4 linked regions of the Alligator mississippiensis genome follow. The protein of the gene in region 1 interacts with the protein of each later gene in a pairwise test. Links are inferred from orthologs where the notes say so. Each region holds a gene or a part of one and is shown in the gene's direction. Other genes may lie near its edges.

Region 1 (7,097 bases):
TCTGTGGATGTCTAGAAGTTATATTTGTCTCAACTTTGAGGTATTACACTTACAGCGACAGATGGTATTTACTAGATACCCCCACTTCAACACATTTTGGAAATCTGTTTCCCTCCTAGATAGAAGAGAATCAACCCTGTGCACATGCCTGCTGCAAGTAAAATGAAGGAGAAGAATGGCCCTTCTACCTTTTAGTCCAATAGCCTAGTGGTTAGGGCAACTATCCATGGAGCAGCAGGCTCAGATTCCAAATTACCCTTGCTTACATGGGGTTTGAACACCATCTCCCACTTCCCAGCATAGTGCTCTAAACCACTTGCTTGGTATCACTCAGAGCACTTTCCAGCCCTCCCCTTCTAGTTGGCCCTATGCACCTTGAATTTAATAATTTCTACAAGTAGGAGTTGTGGTTCAACTTAAAAAAGTGGGACTCCTGTCTTCTGGAGCAAGCAACAGAACCACAGTCCTCAGTGGGTTAACTTCAAGAGGGCCGAAGAGTGCTCTGGGTAATGCCTAGCCTGTAGCCTGGTGTTTAGACCACTTTGCTGAGGAGCAGGAGGTGCAGTTTCAAATCCTGCTTTGGGTGAAAGGGGATAAGGACTCGGGTCTGTGGCTCCCTTGGCATGTGCCCTAATCACTGGATTAAAAATATGGACGGTCCCTTTTTCCACCATGGTTTTTCTCCCATTAAAATTTTGGGACTTACCAAGCATTATGCACATACTTAAGTGATTCTAGTCTCTCAAGCAGCTGCTTAGCCATACCACAGCCAGGTGGTATCTTAATAGACAGGCTACACTCTATCCCAAACTGTGCATAAAAGTGCCAAAAACTGCTGTGACTACACCCTTAGATCTTACTAATCACAATGAATACAATCTGTATGGCCATCTCAGACCAGTCCCTGCTAGACACTGCGCTCTTCAGGGCAGTTCAGTAGTGCAAGCAACTGTAAGGATAGAGAAGAAATAGAAATGTATTCCAAATCTGAATGCCGTGGACAAGTTGCTGCCCAGTCAAGCACTTGAATCTGTTGGGAAATAGCACATAAATCCTCAAATTATAGCTAAAGGCTTAGACAAAGAAATAAACAAATTCAGTTTCATATGGCAGCAATATACACGATTTCTACTTGCCAAAGAGTTAGAAAAGTGTAAATGTTCATACAGTTTAAGGCAGAAAAAAATAGCGTACATAATCAGGGAAAGAAAAACTACCAAGAAGTGAATACTTTAATTTTATGTATCTTTCTTTTGAAAGGCTGCCTGCATTTATAGTTCTCATTTCTTCTTTTTCATGAGCTGTGCACACTCCAAGGAATGACTTCAGCAAAAATGAAAACCGTTTGAGTCTTTAAATAGTTTAAATGTTTAAAAAGCCCAGTGACCCTGGACCAGGATCCTGGACCCTTGAGTGCCATGAAAATCTTATAAGAGTTCTGTGCAATACTAGCATCTATGTATGGTTCACAAGAAAAACCCAGAGGTTTAAAATAGGAATCTACAGGATCAAAAAAAAAACCAACACCCTAATCTGTTGTGGGTTTTCTGAGCTCTTTGCAACAGAAGAATTGCTCTATTGTTTTTCTGTGGTCAAGAAATGAATGAAAGCTAAAAGCTGGCATTTCTGAATAGTGCCTTGAGTCTAAAGGGGTTGAGAATCACTGGTCTATTAAGTTGAGCTGAAAGTAAACCTAGCACCAGGCAGGGGAGAGACTCAGTCCTTTCCCTTGAGATGTCAATACGGTGGGGGGGAAGGGGTGCTGCACATTTGAAGGCACCAGATTAATGCTTTGGAACCTTTTCTCACATTCAGGGAAGGTCAATGGAAAATTCCTTTATTAAATTAAATGCCTTTAAAAATTTCCAGGCAGATTTTAGCGTAAGAACAAGCACAGGTTGTACAACATTTTCCAAGTGCAAAACTGGTTGTGAAAGGCAGAATTTCCTGTAAAACACTAGCACAAAGGGGATCATGTTTGGAATGTAAATAATTCTGTGCAAAACCTGGTACATCTCCTTACCAGACACACAAATAAACTGAAGAGAAATACAAGACTTTGCTTAGTTAACACACAAAAAAATGAATTCTCGAACGCTACCAAGATTCCATCGTTCCAAACTGTTTGCTGCAGAGTACAATAAATAGCAAATGCTAAAGCAACCTTAGCATTATCATTAAGATATTATGGCAAAGAGAGAACATAATTATTAGTCTGAATTATCCTTTTTAGGACTGTTTTCTTTTTGGGAGGGAAGAAGGAGCTAGGCTGATGAGCACAACAGCTCTTGCATTATTATCCATTGACCTTCCCAGAATGTGAGAAAAGGTGCCAAAGCATTGATCTGGTGCCTTCAAATGTGCAGCACCCCTTCCCCCCCACCAGCTTTCTGTGCACACACCTACCAAATATATATCTATATACAAGTGAGCACACACCTACTAAATATATATATCATTTCTCAGCAAGCTCAACAAAGACAAGAATTTTGCTGCTTTGGGTTTCTACAATGCAGATATTCTCTCCCAAATCCCAATGACATCCAGTACATTATATATGTATGTGTGTTTATATGTGTGTGTCCGTGTGTGGTGGGGGGCGGGGGTTTCTACACAAGACACTACATCATCATAGCAATAAGCTACGGCAGCATAACTCGTCACTAAGGCGACATATTGTCAATGGGCACTAATCGTGATGCCACTGCTAATGCACAGTAGCAATGACCTGTGTGCCGCCAGGGCTGCACAGTACTGGCAGAAACGGCACAGTCATTTAGTACTGTGCTAAAGCAAGTACTAAATGACTGCACAGTACCGACTGCACAGTGGGGCGCACATGTAGACGCGTTCTGTATGTATATGTGTGTGTATATACATGGGCGACTGGTGCTGCCTTAGTCGGGGGGCACATGCCCCCCAGTAAGTGGGGGGGATCCCCCCATGGCCAGTCCCGCTGACCAGGGAGGAGGAGTCCCCCCATGGCTGATCGCAAGACAGCCAATTGCTGAGGCTGCATCTGGAAGTGGCTACGGCCGCTTCTGGGAGCGCCACGGAGCTCCACTCCTCGGCCGGTGCTTGCAGAGGGGTACACCAGCGCTCTCAAGGGGTGCACGTGCAACCCCATGCACCCCCTACGTGTCACCACGTGTCCGTGTATGTAGATAGATAGATAGATAGATAGATAGATAGATAGATACGTGTGTATACTGTATCTGTGTGTCTTTAGATAGCTAAATAGATATGTATATATGTATATGCATGCGTGTATATATATATGTGTGCACATCTGTGTATGTATATAGATAGTGTGTGTACTGTATCTGTGTCCGTGTTTGTAGATAAATAGATATGCATGCGTGTGTGTGTATATATATACACACACACACACACACGTGTGCATGTCTGTGTATGTATATAGATATGTGTATACTATATCTGTGTCCATGTGTCTGTAGATATGTATGTATGTATATGCATGTGTGTATGTATGTGTATATATAAGAATATATATATACACCATATGTGTGCATGTCTGTGCATGTATATAGCTAGATATGTGTGTATACTGTATCAGTGTCCATGTGTCTGTAGATAGATAGATAGATAGATAGATAGATAGATAGATATGTCTGTAGATAGATAGGTATGTGTGTGTCTGTAGATGATACACAGACAGATAGATGTGTGTGTATACGCCGTATATGTGTGTGTCCCTAGATGGACAGCCAGATAGCCAGCTATGCGCGTGTGCGTGAGCGCTTTCCTTCTGGCTATAACCAAAACAGAAGCGCTCGGCTCTGCTGGCAGCTGCCGGCGGGCGATTACAGCAATCGCTGGTTTCTTTCTTCTTTTTTTTTTGGCCAGCGATTGCCCGGAGCCGGAGGGACACTGCGTCAGCGCGGCTCCCCACGTGCGCGCCCGGCCGCCGGTGACACACGAGCCCGCGCGCGCTGTTCTTTCCACGAGCAAATCGGCGCCGCGCGGAGGCGGGACCCAGAGCAGCCCCGCCCCCGCCGTTCTCTATAAAGGCCGCCGCTGCCCCGCGCTCGTAGTGCCCGCCTGGCCTGAGCCGCCCCGGAGCTCTTAGCATGCAGAGTGTCGTGTTCTTTGCCCTCCAGCACAACTGCGCACAAATGGAGCGGACTGGTGGCAGCAAAGAAGAGAAGAAAGGGAAGATGAAGAGAACGATGTGAGTTGATATGAGCTGTATGCCTGTCCTTGCCCAGCTCCCTGCAGAGCTACCTGCAGCTTTCAGGATCGGGATTTGAGTGTGCCTCTCAGTTGGAAAAAGCCTTTGATCTGTAAATAGGCATCTATAGACATGGGGATCTATGAATAGATCGATGTAGAGGTGTGTGTATGTATATGCATATTTGTGTGTGTGTGTATACATATCATCTGGAAATAAACCTCTATAGACATAGGCATCTATACATGTATATCTGCTAATAGATGCATATGGCTATGTGTGTGTACACGTGTATATTTATTTGTGTGTAGACATAGGCATCTATAAATAGTGTGTGTGTACACACACACACACACACACACACACACACACACAGATCTGGTAGATGGATCGGTCGATTTATCTATCAGATTTGGGCATTAGTGACACTTACATTTAAATAGGACATTTACACAGCCTTGGTGGTCTGTTTTAAAACAAAAAATGCTTTCCGCTCTGATGCAAGTATGAGGGCAAGGACAGAATGGGGTATTTTATGTATTGGATGTCACAGGGGATTTAGGGAAGCCCAAATTGTAGAAGCCCAGAGCAGCTAAGTGCTTGTGTGTGCTGAACTTTTGCTGAGAAAGGCAATGGCTGGGTGGGTCTGGTGCATGTTTGAATGGGGAAATGAATGCAGATATCATTGTTGTGCCTAGAAACAGTGAGGTTGTACGGGGTGAGTGATGTCCTCCTATAATCCTGTGCTGCATACAGGGTATAAGGAGTTGAAAATGCTGCAGGGACCCACTATCCCAAAACAAAGCATCTCTGAAAAGCTTGCATTGACTTGATTGTTTGCATTATCTGATGAGACCTATGATATTTAAACTGTAAGGAACAGGCTGTTGTGAAGTTCCCCATGTCATGTAAAGGTCTGTGAATCATTCTGTGCTGCAGCTTTACTCTTTTTTGCTGGTCTACAGATTTCATAGTGTGGCCCTAAAATAGCCTAGCCACTTAAGTGATCATTTGGGATTCTCTGAGTCCAAATATTGGCCCTCAGACTGAGAGAGCAAATCTCTAAATTTAAATTTATTTATAATAAAAAGTTCTTCTAAGAACAGTACACCTGAGACTCAATTCCCATTTTAGTCTCTGACAGGCTAAAATTCCCATTGATCATGGAAAGACTGAGTCCTGGTCAACATGCTATATTGTGTCATGTTCAAAAACACACCTCTATTTGTTTCACTATTCAGAGATGCCTTAGTAACAGTTAGTCATTGTCCTGTCACAGGATAGGGGCTGGTCTGCTCACCTTAGCAGTGAACCTTTGTGCTCCCTGAAATAGGAGTCATACCTTTCTGAAATGGAAATTAAAGATGTGGAATCTGGTCCCACAGCTGCTGGGCTGGCAAAACTAGCATGAAACACTAATGAAAAATTTTGCAATGCTCTTTCCTAGCTCAAGTAAAAAATTGTGAAGATGTAACAACGTGTTTTTGTTTTGTTCTGTTTTTAATGAACTGTTTATTTAATATAGTATTTTCTTATTTTCTAGTGTTAAAGATTGGAAAACAAGATTGAGCTATTTCCTGCAAAATTCTTCCACTTCTCGCAAAACGAAGCCCAAGAAAAAGGGAAAACAACATGCTTACTTCAGGTAACTTAAAGATTCAGATTTTGCTCAAATGAATCGCAGATGTTTTAAACATGAAAGGAACAAAACCATCTAACATTGTCTATCCCTCTTTATACAGGCCTTCTCCTGAAGAAGCCCAGCTGTGGTCAGAAGCTTTTGATGAACTTCTAACTAACAAATGTAAGTCAGTCTTGAAGGAAGATAGAGCAAGCTTTTATTTACAAGATTACCATCTCCCTGTAGTTTTTAGGAAAGGCTGTCACAAATAAGAATAAGTCTTGGTCTTCAGTGCACATCCAGATTCTAAATTGCTCATTGAACAACTTTGTGAATGCATGAATATCTAAGCCCTAGCATGTCCTTTTTATAAAATGTCTGCATGTACCTAAAAAATCATAAGAAAAATTCTCATGAGAAACATTTCTGACTGCAAAATCTTTATTTCTTGCTGTAGCCCTAATCTTTGTCATCTCCCAGTATTTTTAGCTGGCCCTGTATTTCACTCTAGCTTTGCAGGAATATACTGCATAAATGCAAAAAAGAGCCATCCTTTCACACCATACTTAGTTTCTGCATTCAGCAAGCTTTGCTCATGCACCAACTCTTATCAATTGACAATTAACCCTTAACAATAAGAGTCTACTGAATGTCACGATTGATTGTAGTAGAGGATGAATTGGACCCTAACGCATAGCTCTAACATCTTGCTCCAAGCAAAATGCTAATACATGACAGTATTTTCCTCAACCCAAATGGTACATGCTTTGTGCTGCTTGTATACAAGAGGGATTCCTATCCACGATAAACTGTTAAATTTACGTATTTTGGGCTTGATTCCACAACAGTGAATCAATGGCAGTTTATTCCTCTTTGGGTTTTACTGCAGTCTCTGCAAAAGAAACCACTTACCAAATGAGCAAAAAAAGACTAATTAGATCAGCATTTGCTCCAGTAAACTTTGAATCAGCCTTTTCCTTACAAACATCTTCCAGTAGTTTATAGCTCTGTCACAAATATTTACTCCCACCTAGAAGTGAATATACAAGCTCTCCTCTCAAGAGTGGAATTGTATAATGTCTGTTTTAAAGATATAGCAATTTTTTTTGGCAGGGAGGGTGCTTTGTTTTATTTTTAAATATGTTGAGTTTAGATTGGTTTGTTTTTTTTGTCTTATGGTTTCACTAAAAAAAAAAAAATGAAGCGCAACAAGCTGTTGCAGAGATTAATAATTGTTTGTATATATGCAGAGAGGCAATTGCATGCCGTAACAGCTTTAAAAGA
Region 2 (8,072 bases), on another chromosome or scaffold:
ATTTCTTTTTTTGGGGCCTGCTGCTGGCCGTGCTGCTCCTCCAGCGCCGCCAGGACGCCCCCTTCCGCCTCCTGAGCCGCAGGGACCCCGAGTGGAGCGCCGAGACCGAGGCCATCATCGGGGGCCGGGGGCCTCGGCACTGAGAGCGCCCCCCCGGCAGACCCTCTTCTCCTCCCCTCTCTGCCCCCTCCAGCCTCCCATGCCCGCTGCCGCCCAGGCCACTGGCTCCGGGCAAGGGGGGGCCCTAGACCCAGCCCCACGGAGCAGAGGGGCTGGAGACACCGGGAGCCCCCCGGCTTTGGGCTCTGACAAGCCCGAAGCCGTCCCGACACTGGAGCCAAAGTGCCGCGAGGCCAGGGGCCAAAGCACCCCGGACTGGGGCAGGCGGTCTCCAGCACTAGTTGCCCCAGGGTGGAGGGGGGGGGTTTGTATCCCGAGCCGTGCCTCTTTTGTACCAAAACCTCCATTAAAAAAGCTGCTTCTCCCCAGAGGAGCCCCCGGCTGCCGTCTCCCCGCCCCGCGTCCGGCCCCGCCGCTCATGAGAGGGGCATTGTTCTCCGGATCAGCCCCGAGGCCGGATTGGGGTCACGAGCTGGGGATAAACCCGGGATGACCCGACCCCCGCCGGCTAGGCTGGGCTGGGCTGGGAGGGGTGGGGGGGGTGCTGTTTCCCTTCCATGGGTCCAAGGCCCTGCAGCGCGGGGGGGGGGCCTCGGCCACCTGCTGAAAATGTGGGGGGGGCATTGGGGGTGTTTGGGGGGCTGCTGGGCAGGGTCTGGGGGGCTCTGCAAGTGGGGGGATCTCCAGGGTGGGGTTTGGACGGGGCTCCCCAAGCGCGGGGGGGGGGAGCTCCAGGGCTGGGGAGGCTCCCCATAACATGGGGACTCCAGGGCTGGGTCTGGGGACTCCCCAGAAGTGTGGGGGGGCATCCAGCGCAGGGCCTGGGGCGGGTGCTCAAGGCGGTGTGGGGGGGTCTCTAAAGGGGGGGTCCCCAAAGAGCTGCGCATGCGGCTCCTATTCCCATCTCCCGCAAACTTTCGCGCATGCGCACGGACCCTCCTTGCCGCCCGCAGGGAGGCACATGCGCACTTCCTCGCGCGCCATCCTCCTCTCCGGGCATGCGTATGGAAGCCCCGCTGCGTATGCCACCGCCCTTCCCTGACGTCAACGGGCGCTCTCGGCCTTCCCATTGGTCGGCCCGGCGGAGTCTCCCAGCATGCTTCGCGACTCGGAGTATTTCTGCCCCGCCTGCGGGCTTTTTCGGCCATTTCCTGCGAGTTGCTGCAGGTGAGTGGACGGGGGGTCCGCTGCCATCCGCCGTCTGCTCCGCCCGGGGTCCCCGCGCCGTGTGGGGCCGTTGCTGCTTCCCGCCTTCCTCCTCGGCCCTGGCGGTATTGCGGCGGAGAGCGGGGCAGGGACCGGGGGGAGGGGGTGCTGCTGCCAGCCACGTGGGGGGGGGGGGCGGTTTCCACGTGGGTTGGGGGCCAAGGGGCCTGTCCTGAGTTGGGGGCTTCTGTGGGCAGGATTAAGGGGTCCTCAGACCCTGCCCTGGATACCTCCCGTGATGTCCCCCGGGGCACCATGAAATGCCCATGTGCAGCTCCCCCCCCCCCCCCCCCAATAGCCCCTGCCCTGGAGATTCCCCCCCTTGGGGAGACCCCCAAACCCTGCCCTCAAGACTCCCTAATCACTGGGGGAGCCCCCACCCCCCTTTGCCCCCCCCACTGATCCTGTGCTGGATATGCAGCCTTGGAGACCTCCAACCTCTTGGGCACCCTGGCCCTGGGGAGCCTCCCTTGGAGCTCACCCCCCCCCCCCCCCGGCCTGCGCTCGGAGTCCCCCCTGACCCTGGAGCCTGCAGCCTTTGGGGGGAGACCCTCACCCTTTGCATAGGGGCTTATGAAGCCTCCCTCTTCCCTTTGTGGGGGTGTATGGGGCCAGGAGCTGTGGTCGGGGTATAGGGGAGGGAGTCCCTCGCCCTGCCTGGGGTCTTCCATCTCCTGAGCCCTGGGTGTTGGGGCCTTGTGGGGGCAAAAGCCCCCTTCTCCCTCATGGGGTGGGGGAGAACCTGGGGTGCGGCGGGATGCTGTTCTATGACGAGACCTATCACAGACCTGTGCTGACGGCCGTGTGAAGACCCCCATGATATCTGAGGACAGACCTGCCTGGGTTTCGCGGGGGGGGGGGGTGCATGCCTCCTGCCTGCCTGCATGTTAATTCTGCCCTTCTTTCTCTGCTAGGTCTGGTGGCCCTGGTGCCTGCCCTGTGCCTAGGTGAGTCGCAGGCTCCCCTCTTCTGAAGGGGTGACGACGGCGGGCGGGGGATATGTGCTGTGCCACAAGGACGACACCAGCGAACTCTCTCTTGCTGATGCTTCAGTGGAGAAAGCCTTTACCAGATTCTGAGTGGCACTGTAGGGTCCCACCCCGGGTGGAGGGCTGGGCTGGGCTGGGCTGTGTCTTGGTGTGTGGGGTCTCACGCATGTCTCCTCCCTCAGGCATGGATCACACCAGCTGCAGGTGCCTGCAGCTTCTCTGCAGGTGAGTGCTGCTCCCCGTGGGTGTGAGGCTCTGGCTGGGATGGGGGCAGGGCTGGCGCGTACCTGCTCCCCGCCTGTTCTGTGATGAATAGAAAACAGACAAGCATATGGCTGAGTGTCCCTGATGCCAGCTTCCTTCTGAGAACCTGGGAGCCCTGCCTGACCCCACAGGGGGAAGGGGGGTGGGTCTTAGGAGGGTCTTCATTCCCTTTCTCTTTACCTGTGATACCTTGTAGGGGGTTGGTTTTTATGGGGGGGCTGGGCTTTTGAAGCCCTGAGATCCTCATCTCCTTGTTGCAGGTTGAAAGGCTCCTCTGTGGAGGCTGGGCTGTGGCTGTGCTCATGGAGGTAGGTTGTGGGGCTGGACTGGGCCTTGTGGGGGTCTGTGGGGCTGAGAGGATAGATAGGGGAGGGAACCCTCTTCCAGACCCTGGCTGGTGCCAGTGCTATCCTGGGGGGCTCCGCAGGCCAGCGATCTGAAAGGATGACTCTTGTTGGTTGGACGACTTTGTGTCTCATGGCAATTTGTTACCAAAGCCCTGATCAGACCGCAGCTGCCTCTGCTCCTGCCCCAGCCTCAGCCCCCTGCATCCCCTCACCCTGTTGTATCGTCTTGTCTCTTTTCAGGCAGGACCCCTGGAGCCCGGCAGTGGTGAGTAGCCCCTGCCCCCATCATAGCTCCCAAGCTGCAACCCCCCACCCCAGGCCTGTCCCAATGAGGAGACTTGCACTTGTCTTACTGCCTGTTCTGGTGCCAGAACCTGCAAAGGTTGAACCCACTGGTGCCGGCAGCCGGAGAGGAGGATGACCTGTTCTGGCTGGAACTGTCTGATGGGACTCTTGGCTTATCGTGGGGGCTAGGGGCGCCTGGGGGCTGTGTGGTGGGTGCCTATAACTGAATGCTCTGGTTCTCCCCAGGTGCTAGGAGGGAACATTGCTGCTGGCTTCTGCCCAGGTGAGTGCCTGGTCCCTGCCCCCCAGGGCTGCCCGCTGACGGGATGAATTCACTCTGGAATCTCGTTCGGCTGAATGCTGCTGTTGAGAATCGGACTCTGAGTGTCACGGGCGCTCCCTGCCTCTGTAGAGCCCTCGCCTTAGCCCTTGCTCTGCTTGGGGCCCCTTAAACATTCCTTACCCTCCCCCAGGCTGAAGATCCTTGGAGAAATCATCTGGCTGCAGTGACTAGGCTGTGAGTGCCCCCCATGGCTGCCTGGCATGGAAGAGAAGAGGCTGGAATAAACCCTCTGGAGTGCAGAAGGGTGAGAATCTTCCCTTGCTGCAGGCAGGGGTATGTGGGTGGCTCTGATTGCGGTTTTGTGATGAGTTCAACTAGCTCACTTTGATGCATAGCATGAAAACCTTTGAACACCTGAAAGCCGGTGAGGAGGGGGCTGGGGAGCCATCACACCTGGTGCCAGGGGCTTATTGTACTGCTTTCTTTCTGCAGGGAGAGCTGAGCTCCTGGCTTGGAGGTGGTGACCCCCACATGGTGAGTGCTCAGGGCCTGAGGAAGTGGGGCAGCAAATCCTGGTCAAGGATGAGGCTTATACCGCCCCAGGCTGAACTCTGTGACTGAGTGGTCCCTCTGAGGCCAGTGGCTGCAGCCCTGTGTGGTGTGGGGGGAACTGGGCCTGATACCTCACCATGGGGCTGGATGAGAGGAAGTGGGGGGGGGGGGTTGCTGGTTGCACATTCAAGCTGTGGTGAAGGAGCAGGCCCCATTTCTCACTACTTGCTTGCAGGCTGGAGTGCTGAAGAGGTGATGTGGCTGCAGCAGGAACATGCTCCTCCTCTCCCCTTTGCTGTGTACCTAAAGGGCGGCTGGCCTGGCAGGGACGAACCCAGCTGCTGTCTGTCTATACCCGGCCTAATGAATAAAAACATCTCTGTCTAAAGCAGTTGTGGCCGTGTTTGTGTGTGGCTATCCGACCTGGAGCTCAGCTGGGGGGGGGGGGTTGGGGCTGGTTAGTCTCAGTTGCAGCCTAACAGTGCCCTGACCGCGTGGTCCTGGGTCTGCATCTCCATCCAGCATCCTCTGTGGGGCTGGGGCAGTCCCCTTACCTCCATCAGCCCCTCCGGGGCCTTGGCATTGGAGCAGTGGATGTAGGGGGGGTGGTGGGAAGCAGCCTCTGCTCTGCGAGTGGCCTAGAGGTTTGCTCCTTAAAACCATAGATTAGAGGGGGGGGGGGGTACTATTGACGGCCAGCTTACAGCTGGGGCATGCGGGGGGAGGGAAGTTGGGGTTGCATGGGGGGGCTTTGGGGGCGGAGCCCCCCCACGCGCGGGACGCCCTTGTTGCATGTTAGAGGTGGCGGGAACGCGGCGTCACGTGAACGCGGCAGCCCGGAGCAATTTCAAGAGCGCTCCCACGCAGAGCGGAAGCCGGCCCGGGCGGACTGATCCCGGAAACCCCGCCCCCCTCTTGCCTCTGGTCCGGCAGGATTCCCCCCCCGGCCGCGGGAAGTGCGCGCGTGGGCGGGGTTCCGCCCCAGTTCCGGTCCCCCCTGCGCTCGCCGGAAGTGCGGCCAGCCGGAGCCGAGAGAGGCAAGGACCGGGAGCAACATGGCGTCCCCCGCGCGGTGGAATCACGTGTGGGTCGGCGCCGAGACCGGGATCCTCAAAGGTAGCGGGTGCGGGGATCGTGACCCCCGGGGTGTTAATGGGGCCTCCCCTTATCCCCCAAGGGCAGGAAAGTGCCTTCTTGCCCCCCCAGGGGAGTTACAGGGGGAGGGGGGCACGCCCCCCTCCTTGTCCCTTAGGCTGGCACCCCCCTTCCCTTCTACTTGTGACACCCCTTTTGCTCCCCCCCGACTGGTTCCTCCCAAGCTGTGCCCCCCCATCTGAACCCCGTCCTTCTTTTTCATCTCCTGCCCCCCCAGGCGTGAACCTGCAGAAGAAACAGGCCACGAACTACACGGCGTCGGGGGCGCTGCGGCGGGATGAGGGCGTCTGCGCCATGTGCTGGGGGGACCCCCTCGAGTCGGAGGTGAGGGGCCGGCTGGAGCCGGCCGGTCAGGCCCCGGGGGGTGGGGAGGGGGGTCTGCAGGAGCTTTGCGTGACGGTGCTTCCCCCTCCCCCGGCCCAGATCCTGGTGGGCTGTCTGGACCGGTCGGTGAAGCTGTTCAGCACCGAGAAGGGGAAGTTCACGGAGTCGCGGCTGTGCCCTGGCGGGGAGGGGCCCTTCCGTGGCCTGGCTGTGCAGGACGGGTACGGTGTCCGAGCCTCCCCCTTCCTTCTGCTGGCCCGGTGGGGGGCTGTGGTTTAATCCCCCAAGGCCTGGCGTCTGTCCAGCCCCGTCCTCCCCCCTCCTTGGATCCGAGGGGCAGTAGTTTGCTGCACGGCTTCCTCCGTGCCTTGCGTCCCAGGCACCCGTCTCCTCTCCCTGCCAGAGCCCAGGCAGGGGTCCGTCTGCTCCCTTCCCCATGGGGCAGCCTGGGCCCTTGAAAGGGGTTAGATGTTTCCGCCCTCCCTGGGGTTCCCTGGGCACCGTTCTCCCCCTGCCGGTTTTGTCCCTCGCTCCTGGGGCCTCCTGGCGTTTGCAGCTGCTCTTAGCGAGATTCTCTGTGTCTGTGTGTACGTCTGTCTGTGTCCGTGTCTGCCTCCATCTCCTGGCCCCGGCAGCTCCCTCATCACCTGCGTGGAGTCCGGGCTTCTCAAAGTCTGGCACGAGGACTCTTCTGAGGCTGTGAGTCTTTGGCAGGAAGCAGGCCGGGCTGGGGGAGGGGTCCCATGGGAAACTGGGGGGGTGCCTTGTCCCATTCCCCCCGCCCAGTTTCTGAGTGTCCAGGGCTGGTTCCTGGCTGCTTTGGCAGGGAGGGGCAGAGCCTGACCGGTGCCCCTGGGAGGGGATGTGAGCTGGGGGTGGGGACACACCACATCACACCCCGTCTCCAGTGCCCGTCAAGGCTGGGGGGGATGTAGGGTGGCCCCCTGGGTAACATCTCTCCTGTGCTTGTCCTCCCCCCACCTTGCCAGGCAGAGCTGCAGGTGGGGCCCGGCGTGTGCCGTATGCGGCAGAACCCGGCACGGCCGCAGTGCGTGGGCACGGGCGGGAAGGAGAACGCTCTCAAGGTCTGGGACCTGCAGCAGCCCCAGGAGCCCATCTTCCGTGCCAAGAACGTGAGTGACAGCCCTGGCCTCACTGTCCTGTCCTGTTCTCCCCCCCACCCCACTGGGCCTGGGCATCCTCAGCCCCCCACCCCTGCCCCTTCCTCATGGCTCCTGTCCGGCTCTGTGGCATCACCCACGTGTACTCCCCTCCCCCCCCCAGGCTCACCCCTCCTTTCCCCCCGGAAGGTGCGGCACGACTGGTTGAACCTGAGGGTGCCCGTCTGGGACCGCGACCTCCAGTTCCTGCCTGGCTCTGAGAAGATCATCACCTGCACTGGGCACCACCAGGTGGGAGCAGGGTGGTGGGAGGGAAATCGGGGTTGTGGAAGGAGGGGGGGTTGTAGGGACAGGTTTGGGGGCAGGGTGTTACTTTTAATAACAGGAACGCTGTGGTTGGTCCATCCCCCACCTCCTGCCTGGGCAGCTGGCCATGTGGGGAGGGCACCCTGACCCCTACTCTCCCTCCTAGGTGCGTGTCTATGACCCCAGCTCCCCACAGCGGCGCCCTGTGCTGGAGGTGACATATGGAGAGCACCCGCTCACTGCCCTCTCCCTTGCCCCCGGGGCCAAGTGAGTGCCTGGGCCCCCAGACACCTGAGTTCTCCCCTGCTCCGGGAGAGGGGTGGGGGCTGGGGGTGAGAGCAGGGGGGTTAGGCGGCCCCTTGCTCACGCCTCATCTCCCTGCAGCTCGGTGGTGGTGGGCAGTGCCCGCGGGGACGTGGCCGTCATTGATCTGCGACAAGGTGAGCCCTGGTGGGGCTGCGGGTGCTGTCAGGGCTGTGGGGGTGTCTCCCAGGCTTTGCTCCCTGGGGGTCTCAGGCCTGCTCACCGGCCCCTTGCCTACCTCCCCCCTTCCGCCAGGGCGGCTACTCAAGTGCCTGAAGGGCTTCGCGGGGGCTGTGCGCGGGGTCCAGTGCCACCCGACCCGGCCCCTTGTCGCCTCCTGTGGCCTTGACCGCTTCTTACGCCTGCACGGCCTGGACGACAAACGCCTGCAGCACAAGGTGAGCTGGGACCCCCCCAGCACCCTCCCGAAGCACCCTAGCTGGCATCTGTCCTATGGCCCCCCAGCGCTGTTTGCTCCTTCCTCACTTGGTGCCCCCTTGGCCGCAGGTTTACTTGAAGTCTCAGCTGAATTGTCTGCTGCTGACCAGCCGAGAGGCTTGGGAGGTGAGTGGAGGAGGGCGGGGGCGGAGGGGGGGGTCCCAGGGCCAGGACGGCAGGGATGGGGAGCAGGTAGGGGGCATCTGAGGTGTGGGGGGGCAGGGGACCCTTACAGCTTCTGGGATGGAGACTATCAGTCCCCGCAAGGACAAAGACCCTGACCTTGATGTCTGTACCCCCCTTTCCTTGCTCCCCCAGGACGAAGACCCCGACCCAGCCAAGGCGGAAGAGGTCAAGGAGGAAGAGGATGAGCTCTGGG
Region 3 (7,458 bases), on another chromosome or scaffold:
CCATACAGCATGGAACGTGAATCAGAGCTGCCCTCGTGGCAGCCGGGATATCCTGCCTTTGTATCGGGTGTGATTCATCCCAGCTCCCCCACACTTTCTTCCTAGGCCCTTGGCACACATTACATATATTGCACATCTTACTGGTCAATCGTGAAATAAATTTGGACTGGCCACAAGTGCAAAGTAATTACCTCCTATATTCAGAGACCTGAGGAAGACTGTCTTACACATGAAAGCTTATCTAACATGATACCAGCTACCTAGTTGGTCCAATAAAAGAGATCACCCTAAGAAATCCTAGCCTCTCAAGTAGTTATCACATGGTTAACTGGTCAGTTGTGCAATCAATGTAGTAAAGGGCCAGCTATGAAAAGGGCCAAGCAGCTACACAGTGCTTGAAAATGTATAACAACTTTACAGCTGGTTTCTATCCAGCTTTAATCAACATGTAACAGGGCTCACACATGTGTGCAGACATACACATGCACACACACACACAGGGTCTCTCTCCAACCTTTGATTCCTGCTCCACCCAAGTTTTTAAACCATCTACCTGGAGGGGCAGGGGCATTTCTATTCTGGCAGTAATGAGAGAATCCACTGACTTTGTGACTCATTAGCATCTCCCTAGTTCCTGCTAATCTCTCACTACTCCATAGGTGTGCATGACCCCCTCACCTTTTCAGTGGTCTTGTTCTACTATTCAAGCCGTCCTTCCTTCTGCAATGTTGCTGTCTGTCAGCCATTCCTCTTAATGTTTCTCTCGTATTTCACAGCCCTGTAGACTGTTTATAGCTTTTGCCAAAAGCCTTATCTCAGGTGTGGTCCTATGAACTTAAGTGAACATTAACTCAGGTGTGGAGATGACTGACAGTGAAGTGTTGGATGCGCTGTCAAGACACACAGGCTAGTTTGTGCTTTATACATCTGAACAAGAGATGCACAATTAACTATGTTGGCTACAGGATTAATGAAACAATTTCTTTTGATGATTTTTGCCTAGTTTGTTGTGTATTTTTAAACCTTATATAAAATCTAACTAATTTGTACACATTCCTATAAAGCTCGACTTGTTTTTGCTTTGCTCTTAAGCTGAATATCATCGCACTAGGTGCCTTAGTATGTTAGTAAAGCTTCTAATTTCTATTTAAGAGTCAGCATGGATTCACCAAGGACAAGTCATACCTGACCAACCTGATTGCCTTCTATGATGGGATGACTGGTTCTGTGGGTGTGAGGAGAACAGTGGATGTGATATACCTTGACTTTTGATACGGTCTCCCACAACGTTCTCACAAGCAAGCTAATGTAGTACAGGTTGGATGAATGGACTATAAAGTGGATAGCAAACTGGTTGGATCACCAGCCTCAGAAGGTAGTAATCAATGACTAGCTGTCTAGCTGGCAGCTGATATCAAGTGGAGTGCCCCGGGGGTCAGTCCTGGGGCCAGTTTTGTTCAATGAATTAATTCATCAATGACCTGGAAGATGGGACAGAGTGCACCCTCAAAAAGTTTGCAGAGGACACAGGCTGGGAGGAGTAGTAGATACATTGGAGGGTAGGGCTAGGAATCAGAGTAACCTTGACAAATTAGAGGATTCGACCTAAAAAAATCTCATGAGGTTCAAAAAGAAGGGCAACGTCCTGCACTTAGGATGGAATAATCCCATGCATCAATACAGGCTGGGTAATGAGTAGCTGATTTGAACATCCCATTTTTTTAGCCACCAAGAAGAGGGGAGGGGAAGACTTAAAATTTGCACAGGGAAAAGGAAAAGAGGAAGGAGCGCGGGGTCCAAATTGGGTTTTTCCCAAGGGAAAAAGCAGCTTGAAATGGACTTTTTTTTTTTCCATTGGGGGAGCAGCAGGGAGGAGGCCTCAAAACTCAGTTTTTTGGGGAGTCTAAAGGGATCTGCTTATGGCTGGTTAAAAATTGAAGCTGACTTGCCTCTTCCTTCTCCTCATCCATCAGAATGAGGGGGTGGAGGGAGAGTGAAACTCCCTTAGTTCCCAGTTTAAAAAATGGGAATTTTAAGTCCTCCCTTCTGGTGGTGGACTGGGGAAAGAGGGAATCTCCAATCTAAACCAAGGCAGCCGAGTGGGAAATTCGTCTCTTACTTGTTAATCCAATGATGGTACGGGTCTTTTTACCAAGTGTGCAGACTAAGATACGGTTGTCCTTAGGTATCCTCAGCAGTTACAGTTCTAATACCTTAGTTAGTCAAAAGCCGAACAGCATGCTCACCACACCGAGCTATAACAAATGCACCATCACTGGATGGACAGTCCGGGAGGTCTTGTCCACAGTTCCTGACTCCTTCATCTGAGTTCTGAGTCTCGGATTGGTGACTGGGTCTTTTAAGAGCAGGCTCCGAAGGGTACGCTCTCTCACCACTCTTTATATACCAGATAGCTTTGCATTTCTTAATACAGGTTTCCCTCGCTTTATGCAATACACGTGTTCCTGGAAAACAACACGTAACTTGAATTTGCATAAAGGGAACCCATTTTACAATGCAACAAATAGGGATACGTTCCAAGACCTTGACTGTACTGACCCCCAGGCCCATTTCTATCACTTTTACAAGACATTTTTGGTGCTCACCAGTAGCAGACAGTACTATTGTAATGAGGATGGCAACTACAGAAACACGTCGCACACGAGTGAGGAGCACAGATCCACACAGGAGACTGTATTTTGGTGCGCATCCCTCCCACAATGCACCGCACAAAGCAACTCTACCACACTAATCGCATAAGCATTAATTTATCTTGCATATAACAAATTTTTGGTATAAAAAGGGTCGTCACATAAGAGCGAATTCGCACATAGAGAACCCACATAAAGCGAGGGGAGCCCATTACATAAAAAGAGTTTAAGTCTCCCTCCTAATGCATATTAATACTTTTGCTTCTGTTTGCCAAATATGGTTACCCTCAACTGAAATTTTCTATTCTGAAGTAATTTTTTCAGTCTTAGGTAGAGGTAGGTTTTTTTCCTCTTACTGCTCCTCTTTTGCCCAGGCTACACTTGTTCTGAGCTAACAAGAGGCCGAGAAGCAATTTATTCAATTTAGTTAGCCAACTCCCCAATTTGTATAAAGTCAGGAACAGTATTTTCCATCTGCTCCTTTCACCGAGTGCATGTCTCGACCACAATTCAAGCTAAGCACTCAGCTTAAGCTAAGTACAAAGGTCAAAACCTAGGCCTGAAGGCCTCTGGGTCCCAGACCACTATTGGGATTGGGGACTGGGCATCCTGGATGAGGGGGATTTGGGGACAGCAGAGACCAAGGGGGTAATGAGAAGCAGGGGTCGGAATGTGGGGGGGACTTGAAACGATTTTTCTTTAAGCTGCAAGCGTGCGAGGGTAGGGGAGGGAACTTGTAACTACCTTTATCAAGGCAGGGCTGTGAGGAGGTGAAATGGAGTTTTTTTAGCTTGTGGGTGTGTGTGTGTTTAGCTTGAGTGTGTGTGGGGGGGTCATTTTTAGCTGGGGTGTGTGTGTGTTTAGCTTGTGGGGGTGTAAATACGTTTGTAGGAGGAGGGGTGTGTGTGCATGTGTATGTTCAGTTTGTGGCATTATCAATGCATAGGGGGTGCACCCCCCCGAGATCGGCCGTGCACCCCCTGGAAGCGCCAGCCGTGAAACCAGAAGTGCACTTCTGGTTTCGCCACTGGCTTAGTGATTAGCTGCTGGGGGACCCCCCCCCCCCACCATTGGCAATCAGCCATTGGGGGGACACCCCCCTGCCCCAGTCTGCGTTTTGGTGCCCCCCCAGGCACCAGTCACCCATGGCTTGTGGAGTTGTGTGTGTTTAGCTTGGGGGTGCTTTTAGCGTCTGGGGGATGCTTAGCTTGTGGGGTGCATGTGTGTGTATGTGCATGCGTGCCCCTGTGTGTGAACGTGTGCGTGTCTGTGGGCCTGCGTATCTACGTGCATGTTGTGCCTCTCTCGCATTTCCCTTAGTGCCAAAGGGGAGGATTTGAAACTCATATTATCCTAGTATGAGTCTGGAGGGGGGTTGCAAGTCACTTCCCTGCCCCCCTAGCACTGGGGATTTGAAGCACATGTTCCCCTTAGCACCAAAGTTGGGGGGATTTGAAACTTATTTTATCCTAGTAGGAGTCTTCCTTCCCCCTGCCCCTTCCCAGCAAAGGGGAATTGAAATACACGGTCCCTTTGGTACCAAGGTGAGGTTTAAACCTCATTTTATCCTAGCACGAGTCTGGGTGTGTGTGCGTGCAGGGGGCGGGGGTTACAACTCACTTTTTTTCCCCCTCCCAGCTGGACAAAGACACGTGTGTAAGGGGACTTAAAACTCACTTTTTACCCTAGCCCGGGAGAGGAAGACGGGTGGATTTCTTGTCCTTGGCAGAGACTGGGAACCCCTTAATACTTTTCCACCCCGAGTGAGAGCAGGTGAGAAGGGACAGGCCTCTTCTTGCAGGTCTTGAGCTAGAAACAGGGAAGTGGGGAATTTTTAAGCTGTGATTTCTGAGGCAACCCTCCCGCCCCCATCTCCCCCTTCTGTCTTCCTTTTCTCTGTGCCTGATGGCAGCCCAGCCAGGCACAATGAGGCTGAGAGGCCCCTCTTGGGAAAAACTCTGGCGAACAGCTGAGAAGAGGAGGAGGCGGCAAGGGGGAGGGAGGTCTGGGCTCTTTGCCTACACTTCGCCAGCGAATCCCAGCTCCCGGAGAAACAAGTTTATGCAAATCCTGGGGCTGGTGGAGGATGAGATCAGGGGAAAGCAGAAGCCTTCGGAACTGGACTCTTTTGCAGGGACACGCCAAAAAAAAAAAACAAAAAACTGCTGGTTTCTTTCTCTCTCTCTCTTATTGTGCAGAACTCCTTGGATTTGGAGGGCTGGGCTTTGTGGGTGCCAGTCCTCGAAGACTCGCTGCTGGGAAGACCTCGCTCCCCAGCTCCGAAACTGGATTTACCAAGTGGCTTCAAACCTGGGCTCCTGTCTCGGGGACTTTTCTCTTTCTCCCGTGGATTATATTTCCCTGTAAGACAAGCAAGGAGGGTCAGAGAAGGTAATTCGCTTGGGATGCATTTTCCATGGGGCGGGAGAGGGGAAGGGGAGGCGGTGGAGGGGAAAGAAAAGGGGATCTCCCATCTCCGATTTTCTCGGCTCTTAACTTGGTGGCTGTCAATGGCATGAGGCCCATTCTCTCCATGACCTTGGTTGAAATCCAGAGCGACCCCCAGGGACACAGGCTGGATTCTGAAGTCGGTGACCTCTGAGTAAACCCAGAGTGATCCCTGGGGTGCTCCCCGGCTTCTTGATCTCAGCGAGGCCAGCGTAGGCCTGAGATTGGAATCCGACAGGGACTATTTCAGGTCTGGCTCCAGGCACCGAAGTTTGCAGCCGTCTCGGAAAGGTTCGGCAGGCGCCAGGTATAAGCTCTGACCTGAGCCATTTTTAACCCGCCCCATTCGGGGGCTGTCTCCAAATGGTTTCCTCCTCATCCCGCTTTCAAACCTTCACTCTCTCCGACCCCTCGCTCTCCCATGAGACCCTTCCCCTTCAGCCAGCTGCTCCACGAGTTTACACGGGTGAGACTCATCATCTATGCAGCCTGTGAACCATAATAACAGTGAATCGATCACTCCCGGCCATTGAAATCGCATTAGCAGGTAACGTGATTCGGCCTGGATGGACACGAAGAATTATAGCGGGTGATAATTAACCATGGGAAAGACCTCACAATGCCAAGGCCCCATGGCCATTAGCAAAAAGGAGAAACTAATACCCAGCAATGGACAATTCGACATTTAAACAATGGGGAATAGCAAGATCTACTGCTGTTGCTGTGAGAGGTAAAAATAAAAAAAAATAAAAATAACAGCTAGTCACTAGAGGGAGTAAAGCTAAGTAATTATATCTGCTCTGATGTTTGAGGTGATAAATGTGGTCATAAATAGCAGAGGCAGAGCAATTATGCAAATTAGTGTTAGCATTGCTGCTTTTTTTATTGTGGATTACAGTAAAGCAGATAACACAAGAATACCACTAATTATGAAGGCAATTTGGCAAAAGATTCATGTATTACCCACACAGTCAAACAATAAATATAATAGAATATATGACAAGTAATGAATATGATATGATATGATATGATGCAATGTATAATATAATATAGTACAGTATAATAAAATGTTTCCATAATAGTATTAGCATTCTTAGAATATATTCTTAATACACACACGCTGATGTAAGTATGTATTTAAGTTATATATTAATGATATGCACAGAGCTGTGATTAATTGTATATTTTAGATGGTCACAGTTACTCAAAATAACAGTAATAGTAATTAGTAGGTAACTCAGACCTTCTGAATAGAGCAGGATATAAATCAAAATAATAATCAGAATCATCATTATCCTTATTGAAACTATAAGAATTAAGGCAATTTTGCTAGAGATCATAGAATTACACACCAAACTTTGTGATTAAAAACAAACACGTTTCAATAATATTAACAGCATTGTTGTTATAAATCATAAATACACATATACACACATATCTCCAGATACACACATACATATATACACACATACATATAGACACATATGTATGTATCCATACATATATATACACATATTCATATAGAAACACACACATATAGACATATGTACATACACACTTACAAATATATATACACACCTGTACACATACACACATATATATACACATGCATACTAACACACATATACACACCCAGATACGTATAGACACACATTTGTACATATACAACATGCACACACACAAATACACACATATATATACATATACACACGCATATATATGTACACATATACATACACACACACATCTATGGCTCCATATTGTTAAACTATGCACATCTGGCTATATATGCAAGGATGCATTATTCGTATAAATCATATATGTGATTGGATGCATGATTATAGGTTATTAATCAAAATATATTTGATTATATATATGTTTTGATATGACACCTTATTTATTCACATACTCCACTAACCTTTCCCCCAGAAACTAGCAATTGAAAATTGAATTAGGAAACTGTAATGGTTTGGTTAAAAGGAAAAGAAATCCCTCTTTTTTTCCCCCTGCTTCATTTGTACTTCCCAAAACAAAGGTAGGTGTCTACTTCGGGGGGAGGGGGGGTGTTAGGTAGTTAAATACATTAATCACTGCATGCGTTGCAAGTTGTAGTAGTAGTAACGATGCTAATGCTAACAATGATGATAATAGGAGTGTGAATACGAATATATTGGGTAAACTAAACAACATATAAAAAGTAAGGCAGTCTTACTAAAACTAATGCAGTGACACCCAGGGCTATACAATAAAGACAGGGATCAATAGAAATAATGTTAGAAATAACATAGCATGCTATTAGTTATACAGAGGTATTAATTAAACTTGGGGCCCGGTGGCACCAGGCGCTGTACACATACAC
Region 4 (7,722 bases), on another chromosome or scaffold:
AACCACACGTTTTGTCCGTGCGGGGCTGGGGTGCTCCCTGCCATCAGGGGAAGTCTCACGCCTGGTGCTAGAGCTTCTGCCCATGGCGCTGCCAGTGTGGGACCCAGCATGTGGCTGGCAGGCACCTGAAAAGGAGGGAGCGCGGCTCTCCAACCCGCCTGAGCTTGACCCCCCCCGGCCTATGCCCTTGCCTCCATCCCTCACCCAGGATCCCTTCATTCAGTCATGTCTGATGGGTCTCCACTCACTGCCGATTCCCCGTCCTACCCCCATCGCAGAACAGGGATGCATGGGTTATCTTGCTCTCAGGGGTGAATGGTCCAGGCCTGCTGGCAGGATCCACACTGTGCATGGGCAGTGCTCACAAGGCAGCCACACCTGGAGCCACGGGGTGCTCCCTTGCCACCGCAGCCCATGGGGGGAATGGCGAGGGATTGCTCTGCAGCTGCTTCATGCTGCTGGATAGGCCAAGAGGTGAGGCGTTCTGCAACACAGCCCTGCACGGGGCACAGCGTGGTCCTCCGCCCCGGCTTTCTGTTGAGCAGGAAACCACCACGCATCACCCTGAGCACCTTCGGGAAACTGCCGTGGGTGAGGCAGCTCTTGCCGCAGGAAGGAAAGAACAGCTGCAGTCGTGTCTCTCTCCTGCTTGTTAAAGGATTGAAGCTCCCGGGTCACAGCAAGATGAGGGGGCACGTTATGCAGAGCTAAAATGCCCAATGCTTTCCCATGCAATCCCAAAGGACCTTCTTCCCACGCCTCCCCTTCTACAGGAAGCCTCTCTGAACCCCTGTGTCCCTGCTCCGTGTTGCAACACAGCCCCCCCCCCGGGGCTGCCTCTTGGGACCCCAGTTGTGACCTGTTGCTCCATAGGTACAGGCAAGCTGATTTTCTGACCGGGCAGCAAGGGTTAGGCACATGCTGTTCCTGGGCAAACCTAAATACTGAGGTCTTAGCTGTGATCCGGGCAAGATATGACATCATGATCTAGTTTCTTAAAGCCACAGGGTCCAACATTACTCCCCATCGTGTTTTGTTTTCCAAAACCAGGACGCCGTCAGAAGAGGATTTCAATGCAACACGTAACTGCATCTAGTTTTTGCAGGGATGGATCTGCAGGGAGGTTAACCGCTTTATAAAACTCTACTTACCAGTAGCTCTGGGCAAGTAATTTATTTGGGTCAGCAATTAAGTTATTATCGTTAGCAAAACACATAGAATTAGGGCAGGCCAAGTTTGGCCCGTGCTGGGAGCTGTACGTGAGAAAGTTTTGCAAGAGTTAGACAGAGGGTTGCTAGATCCTGACTTGCCTGCCAAATACAGCGTAGGCATAACATCGGACCCCACACAGCCGGAAACACCCCTGGGAACTCCAGGCAACATCTTCCCCAACCTACTGATGAAAGCAGGCAGACATGCCTGAGATCACACAGCAGGGAAGCTGGGGGCGAAGCAGGGAGCTGAACCTGTCTGTCTCAACCCCAGGCAAGCCAATGGACCCGATCCTCCTATTCTCAGCATGCTGTCCGGCCCAGCACCCTGCACTGAAGCAGCTCCTAGTATGTTAAAGAAATACCATATGCAGTAAGTGATAGCATGGTCAAGCTTATTCCTATATACAAGCATGGATCAAACCTCCAAGCATCCAAAGAGAAAAAAAAAAAGGACAGGCATGTACAGTGCTGTTGTTAGGGTGGTAAAGTGCTTTAACCTCCGTCTGGCCAGTGGACCTGTAGCCATTGTGGGCGGTTTGCAGCTTGGGTATCACTGCCAAGCACCACTGACCCACTGATTTTGTCTTCTTTCATCTGTCAAGATGTTGGATGGCCTGCCTTAAGGTGCTAAGCCCTAGACAAAGGAAAGGAGCTGCTAGCGATAAGCTAACTTAAAAAGGCTTAAAAAGGCAGTAGACAATAGCAAGGAGCTGGGTGTGCCAACCTCTTGGCTCCAGTGTGTCCAGGAAAGCCCATCAAGAAGGGAGGGATTTAATCTTTTATTGCCCCACCTACCTGGTTGGAATAAAGTCAGACAAGCTCTGAAATGCAAGACTGTCTTCATCAGGTCTGAGGGGGGAAGCAATGACTCCCCCCCCTCTTAATGACCCCCTTCCCTCCCTTTGGATGGGTCTTGATCTGCCAGGAATAAGCTTCCTTTCTTCTGCTAATTGTTTCTCTGCTACCCCTGGGAATTTGCCTCTTCCCCTCCATCTTCACAGTTCAAGTCTTGACTGGTTGGTTGCATTTCTGCTCAGACTTGATGAACACAAAGCAGGTGTAGCTTTATTTCAGGTCGGGTAAAAGATATCACCCTTCCCCTCCAAAAAAAACCCCAAACCCCTTGCCTCTTGCATAATCCTTGGCTACATCATTCACTAGCATCAACAGTAATGCCAACTCTCATGAAAAAAATCAAGACACTCCTGATTTCCAAGCCAAATTAACTCTGACTCATGATCTTCTGATAGAGAGATCACATCTCAGGATTTTCTTCTTCCGGTGCGTGTAGAGAGCACCAAGCTGGTAAGTCTGTGGAGGGGACGGGGCAGGGGGAAGATCGAGGGGAGGGAGTGGGGCAGCAGCTGGGGTGAATGGGGACCCTGGGGCAGGGGCGAGTCATGCAACATAGCCGTGGGTGGCTGTCTGTCCACATGCCTGTGTCTGCCCCTCACTCCCAAGCCACAGCCCCCAGCCCTGCTGCTGCCCCTCACCCACAGTACCCTGCATCCTGCCAGGGCTGCAAACCTCCCCCCCCCCACACCCCTTCACAAATAACCCTCCCCCCATGCACACTTCAAAAATAGCATCTCATGATTTACATTCCAAATCTCTTGATTTTTAAGAGTTTGTCTCATGATTTTTGACACGATGGGGGTGGCAATACTGCATCAAGAAGGGACTAAGAGTAAGCAAAGCCTGCCGAAGGAGGCTTTGTGTTTGAGGAAGTTGATGAGAACATTTGGAAATGGTGGACTGGCTCTGATCTGTTCCTGGAAAAGTATTTTAGAGCATTTGCCTAAAGTCATGACTAAGCCTTTGGGTTTCATAAAGGAATTTTAGGTTGATTACTGGTGTGGTCGGGTCAATCCAACTGCAGCACAGGGGTGGAGGAAAGACATGATGGCCTGGAGGGAATGGAGCAGAAGGGATGGTGCTGGGGGGGAGTTTATGCCCACTGGGGCATGCTCCTCTTCAAAATTGGGAGAACGGGTGAGCCTCACCACTTGCAGTCAGCCAACATCTAGGGCACTCGCTGGCAACCCTCTTCTGCTGGTCCCCGCAGGGGATAACCACCCACTACCGCTGCCAATGACTCCATGGGCTCAAGCGGCTGAGGCCTGCCAGGCGGGTCCAAAGCAGCAGTTCTCAACCTTTCTAGACCAGCGGCACCCCTCGATAGATTTGAGGCACCCCTCAAACACTCAAGGCGCTCCTTGGAAAATGTCCGTTCTCACTCGTTTCTTGACTATAGCAAAATAACAGAGCAACTCCTCTGTTGCAAAGAGCATCGGCATCAAGATCGTGCCATATGACCGAATGTCTTCCTTTTTCATTTTGATTTTTTGTTTTTAAAAAGGCAAGGAAATGACACTGCCTCCTCCCGCAACCAAAATAAAATCCCCACCTACATGCAGAAAACAGGATTAAGCATGCAAAGTCAAGCCCTCAATGGCTACAAAATGCTGCCCTTTTTTGACCGGACACAGCCATATTCGGGGCACAGGATGGATCTGTGCTGGGAGGAGCTGGTGTTTGCTGCTGCTCCTGAAAGGCAGGTAGTGAACAAGGTGCAGGCAAGGGTAAGCCTGGCACATCCCAACTTTTGAGAGCCTTGCAATCTTAACGCTCAGCTGGTTTCTATGTGTTTCTATGATGGATGCACTCCAGCTAATGATCATTCCTGCTCTACTAAGCAGTATTTAATATTTAGCCAATTTTTCCGCTGGCACTTGTTGCCGTCATGCCCCCCCCAGTACCCGAGTGGTTTGCAAACATGAAGGACTCCAGACTTTCTGAGCTGTGGACGGTATCTGACGCCAAGTGAGAAAGCTTTTCCTAATATCTAACCTCAACTTCCCTTGCTGCAACTGGAGGCCACGGCTCCTTGTCCCTGAGCCCCATACAGATCAGTGGTCTCAACCCTTTTCGTACCAGCACCCATTTGTAAACCTCGAACGCCAGGCCTGACCCAGCACCCCTCACTCCCAACCTGCTGCCCCCAGCATGCAGGGCAAGGGGTGGGCTTGCGGGGGCCCCAAGCAGCCCCTTGCAGGCTGGAGCCATGCTAGTTTCCTGTGCTTTCCTCCTTTAAAAGCAAATCCATTTTTAACACTTGTTTGCAACCCTTTCATATATTCTTGCAATCCACTGGTCTGGCCAAACGCTTGCTAAATCAGCACCCAGCTGTCTGCATTTTGGGTTTGACCTTGCACTGCCTCTCTAGCAAAGCTTCCAGCTGGGGCTGAGCTGGAGGTCAAGCTATGCTGTGCCACACCAGGGGATGTGCCATGCACACCTCTTTCCAGCACGGTGTAGGGACTGCGGGGGGTGCAATATGGGGGCCAAGTGCACTGTCCCGGCCAGGGCTTTGCTTGCAGACCCTCCAGCAGGGGCTTTGCCTGCAGGCAGGCAGGCAGACCTCGCAGGGGTGGGGATGGCCCCGGCTCCTGCAGCGCTTGCAGCCAGGCCCCGCCCGGGCTCACGCGGGGCGGGGGCGGGTGATGCGGATCATGTGAGCGGCCGGGAGGCACGTGAGCTGCGCCGGGATAAGGGCCGGGAGGCTGCGGGCGCTGCTGCTGTTGCTGCGGGTAAGTCGGGCTGGGCACAGGGGTTTGGTTTGGTTTGCCTATTTTGGAGCAGGATCTATGCGTGCCCCTGCAAGGGAAAAGCTAATTTTTTCCCTCCCCCATTTCTCTCCTTTTTAAAGGCAATTTTTTTTTTTTAAATTATGATTATTTTTATTTTAGTTTAATCCGTTTCCTAACCTTGCTCCGGATCCTTTGCTGTGTTGTTGCACCCCCTTGCTAGGCGCTGACCCGCAGGGTGAGACAAGGTGACCTTGCTTTCTTGGCCCTGTTGCTCTCGCACTAGGCCAGGGGTCCCAGGCAAAGGGTGCAAAGTCCTTGCTCTGGATTTGGCAGATGTGCCAAATCCAGAGCTGCCTTCGTGTCTTTTTTTTATGTGCATTGCTTAAGGTCCTGCTGTGGGTCGTCTCCCCCCAGGTTGCAGCAGTCGGTGCCTTCCCTCCTGGGGGGTGAGCAAGTGACTTGGGGCTTGCATGGGTGGGAGTACGCTGCAGCTTGGGCATTGCATAGGTGCTCGGGCTGCTTTGGGAGGTGCAGGCAGCTCCTTAGCTGTTTGGTTGTACCCTGGGTCTTGGCCCTGCGCTGATCTGAAACGTGGGGCCTGGTCTGTAAAGATTTCTGGGAAAACATAACTCCTGGGCGTGGATGTTTGGCTCTTTACTGTGCGAAGTTGCCTCCCTCCCTGCAGAGTTGCTCCCGGTTTGCAGCACAGGCTGAGGTTGCACTGTATGCCCAGGTCGCTCCTGGGTGCTCGGTGGAAGGAGATGCGAGATGTGTGGCAGGGTGTGCGTGCCTGGTGGCGGAGCAGGGAAGATAGAGGCGAGGCCTGCCCAGGGTTTGGGACAAGGTGCTGGTCCCTGGGAGAGTCCTTTGGGAGCAACTCCTGAATGGGCATAGATGTGCCTGCCATGCGGGTTACCCCAGTGCGGCTTGCCTGCTCTCGGTCACCACCGATGCCTATGCCAGAGCTCGCTGCAGAGGAAAGAGCTCATTGGGATTGTGGGATGTGTAATATGGGATTAAAATGGCATCTGCAGTGCCTCTGCAGTCACTGCTAGAAGAGATCCTGGGGATAGGGGCTGCTTCCTTTGCCTTGTGCCATCCCAAATGCTTCGGCATGGTAGGGTGGTGCATGGGGCATCGCTGCCCAGCTTGGGGCTGCTCACCCTAAAAGGGCATCCCTGAAATCTCTAATTCTTAAAAACAGGCGGGGGGACCAGGCTTGTCCTGAAGCACAGCTCAGGCCACCGGAGCCTGGTTCATGCATCGGCTTTGACTGGCCCTGCTACTGCTGAGGGGTTTTGGAGGAAACTTCCCAACCTGCCAGCCCTCTGCATCCCTGAATAGACCCCTAGAGCTGGTTTTGACCAAGAAGTGTTTAAACATTTGTCTAAATGCTGCAGCAGGAAACTGGATCCCAATATCTTAACTCTGCAGCATAGGGCTTCCTGAGAGGGCCCCAGTCTGTATTGTGGGTGTTTCAATTCCTGATTAAACTAGGAAGCTTAAGGGGGGGGGGCCTTGTGCTGGGGGAATCAAGTTCCAGATGCTTGCACGAAACCTGATTTTAGTTTATCCAGATGTCTCCTGAGTGAAATGAAACTTAATTCCTTAGAGCAGCCTTTTTTCAATGTGCTAATACTGTGTGGGGAGGGATGCTGTGTCTTGCAAGCCTAGAGCACATGCTAATTTTGCAGCCTGTGTAAGGGATGGCAATGTCTGCTCATTACCCTTCAAGGATGCAAACGGGTGCTTCTGGGTTTTGGTTTGTAGCTGTGTTGGTTTAAGGTTCCTGAGTATCTGTGATATCTTTTATTAGTTGGGGGTGGGGAAAAATGGCTTTTTTGCACGCTTTTGGGTGCAGTCACCCTCTGAAAACTGACCTTTTGGTGATGATGCAGGCCTCTGTCTACCCTGAGTTTTGAGCCTGGCACTTGTGCGACAAGCTAAGCTTGCAATTTGTAGCAAAATGCAGTTGCTTTGTGCACACGTTGGCTTCGTTGCAGCTTAGTGTTACACGCACAACGGTGACAAACCAAAGTGACAGCCATCGCTGTGAAGGATGGGGAGTTTGGGGATTTTTCTCCGTAGAATGGGTGTGATAGTTGCAAGATGTAGGTGCAGCGACCCTGGAGGGGCACTTCTGGGGTTCTGTTTTATAGCCTGGACAGATGCATGATTTGTATTTTCTGTCTCCCTTGTGCGTTCTTGGGAGCCTGTGAATGTTAAGCCTCTGGAGAGGTAGACAAGTATTGTACCCACTTCCTGATAAGTAAACTGAGGCACTGACATGACTTTCCCTACGGTCAGTGGTGGAGGCCTCAATAGAGCCCAGGTGCTCTGTATTATTCTTCTGCTCTAGCCAGTCCCAATCCATGATGAGTAAAAGCTTCCTAGCTGCTGGTTTATGAATGGGAGCATACCCTCTGCATTTGGTATCGGGGCAGCAGTGTCTTCACACCATTGCCCCGTGTTGCTGCAGTCCTGAAGCTCTCCAAGCAGGTGCGCGCCTGGGATCTGTCCTGCCCATCGCTTTGTTAAAGAGGATGGGTATAGATATCCATGAAAGCAGTACAACCACCACTTCTTTGCCCTCTACCCTCTTCTGTAAAGCATGGGAGGATGCAAATGCCCTCCCCAAGCATTAGGGAGGGGGAGGCAGAGTTATGGGGAAGTAACTGCTTCAGCTGTTGGAGAAGCAGATCTGAGCTAGATCGGGCCACCCCCTCTTGCCAAGTGCAGCTATGTCATGTCAGGCTGGGCTCAAAGTAGATGCTTTCTGCTCCTTCCTAGAAGTAAAACTGCATCTTGGAGACTTGTGGCTGTTTTGGATTTTGACTTGTAACCAGGCACCAAAAGAAACAAAGCAGCATCTCAAAAGGGTTAGTTCCTCTGTTTCCCTTGCCTGGGCCCCAGCCTGT

Evidence for each region.
Region 2: the proteins of RGS2 (region 1) and WDR74 interact in a two-hybrid assay, tested with the Homo sapiens proteins (2 studies listed by BioGRID and IntAct). The link is inferred for Alligator mississippiensis from reciprocal best matches to the Homo sapiens genes RGS2 and WDR74.
Region 3: the proteins of RGS2 (region 1) and DDR1 interact in a two-hybrid assay, tested with the Homo sapiens proteins (2 studies listed by BioGRID and IntAct). The link is inferred for Alligator mississippiensis from reciprocal best matches to the Homo sapiens genes RGS2 and DDR1.
Region 4: the proteins of RGS2 (region 1) and CTSB interact in a two-hybrid assay, tested with the Homo sapiens proteins (2 studies listed by BioGRID and IntAct). The link is inferred for Alligator mississippiensis from reciprocal best matches to the Homo sapiens genes RGS2 and CTSB.

The regions. Positions count from the first base shown.
Region 1 is NC_081828.1:61,772,039-61,779,135, forward strand, and holds the start of RGS2 (regulator of G-protein signaling 2), read left to right. Parts: upstream 1-4,039; 5' UTR 4,040-4,091; coding exon 4,092-4,192; intron 4,193-5,735; coding exon 5,736-5,837; intron 5,838-5,934; coding exon 5,935-5,996; intron 5,997-7,097. UniProt on the Homo sapiens protein: Regulates G protein-coupled receptor signaling cascades. Inhibits signal transduction by increasing the GTPase activity of G protein alpha subunits, thereby driving them into their inactive GDP-bound form.
Region 2 is NC_081838.1:3,266,641-3,274,712, forward strand, and holds the start of WDR74 (WD repeat-containing protein 74), read left to right. Parts: upstream 1-5,035; 5' UTR 5,036-5,101; coding exon 5,102-5,162; intron 5,163-5,418; coding exon 5,419-5,525; intron 5,526-5,624; coding exon 5,625-5,746; intron 5,747-6,160; coding exon 6,161-6,224; intron 6,225-6,514; coding exon 6,515-6,658; intron 6,659-6,835; coding exon 6,836-6,937; intron 6,938-7,118; coding exon 7,119-7,219; intron 7,220-7,336; coding exon 7,337-7,392; intron 7,393-7,510; coding exon 7,511-7,653; intron 7,654-7,762; coding exon 7,763-7,819; intron 7,820-8,011; coding exon 8,012-8,072. Other genes in the region: TMEM179B (transmembrane protein 179B), read left to right, coding at 1-143. UniProt on the Homo sapiens protein: Regulatory protein of the MTREX-exosome complex involved in the synthesis of the 60S ribosomal subunit. Participates in an early cleavage of the pre-rRNA processing pathway in cooperation with NVL.
Region 3 is NC_081834.1:56,448,859-56,456,316, reverse strand, and holds the start of DDR1 (epithelial discoidin domain-containing receptor 1), read left to right. Parts: upstream 1-4,350; 5' UTR 4,351-4,424; intron 4,425-4,760; exon of another isoform or gene 4,761-4,849; 5' UTR 4,850-5,042; intron 5,043-5,454; exon of another isoform or gene 5,455-5,646; intron 5,647-7,458. UniProt on the Homo sapiens protein: Tyrosine kinase that functions as a cell surface receptor for fibrillar collagen and regulates cell attachment to the extracellular matrix, remodeling of the extracellular matrix, cell migration, differentiation, survival and cell proliferation.
Region 4 is NC_081824.1:8,402,888-8,410,609, reverse strand, and holds the start of CTSB (cathepsin B), read left to right. Parts: upstream 1-4,701; 5' UTR 4,702-4,804; intron 4,805-7,722. UniProt on the Homo sapiens protein: Thiol protease which is believed to participate in intracellular degradation and turnover of proteins. Cleaves matrix extracellular phosphoglycoprotein MEPE. Involved in the solubilization of cross-linked TG/thyroglobulin in the thyroid follicle lumen.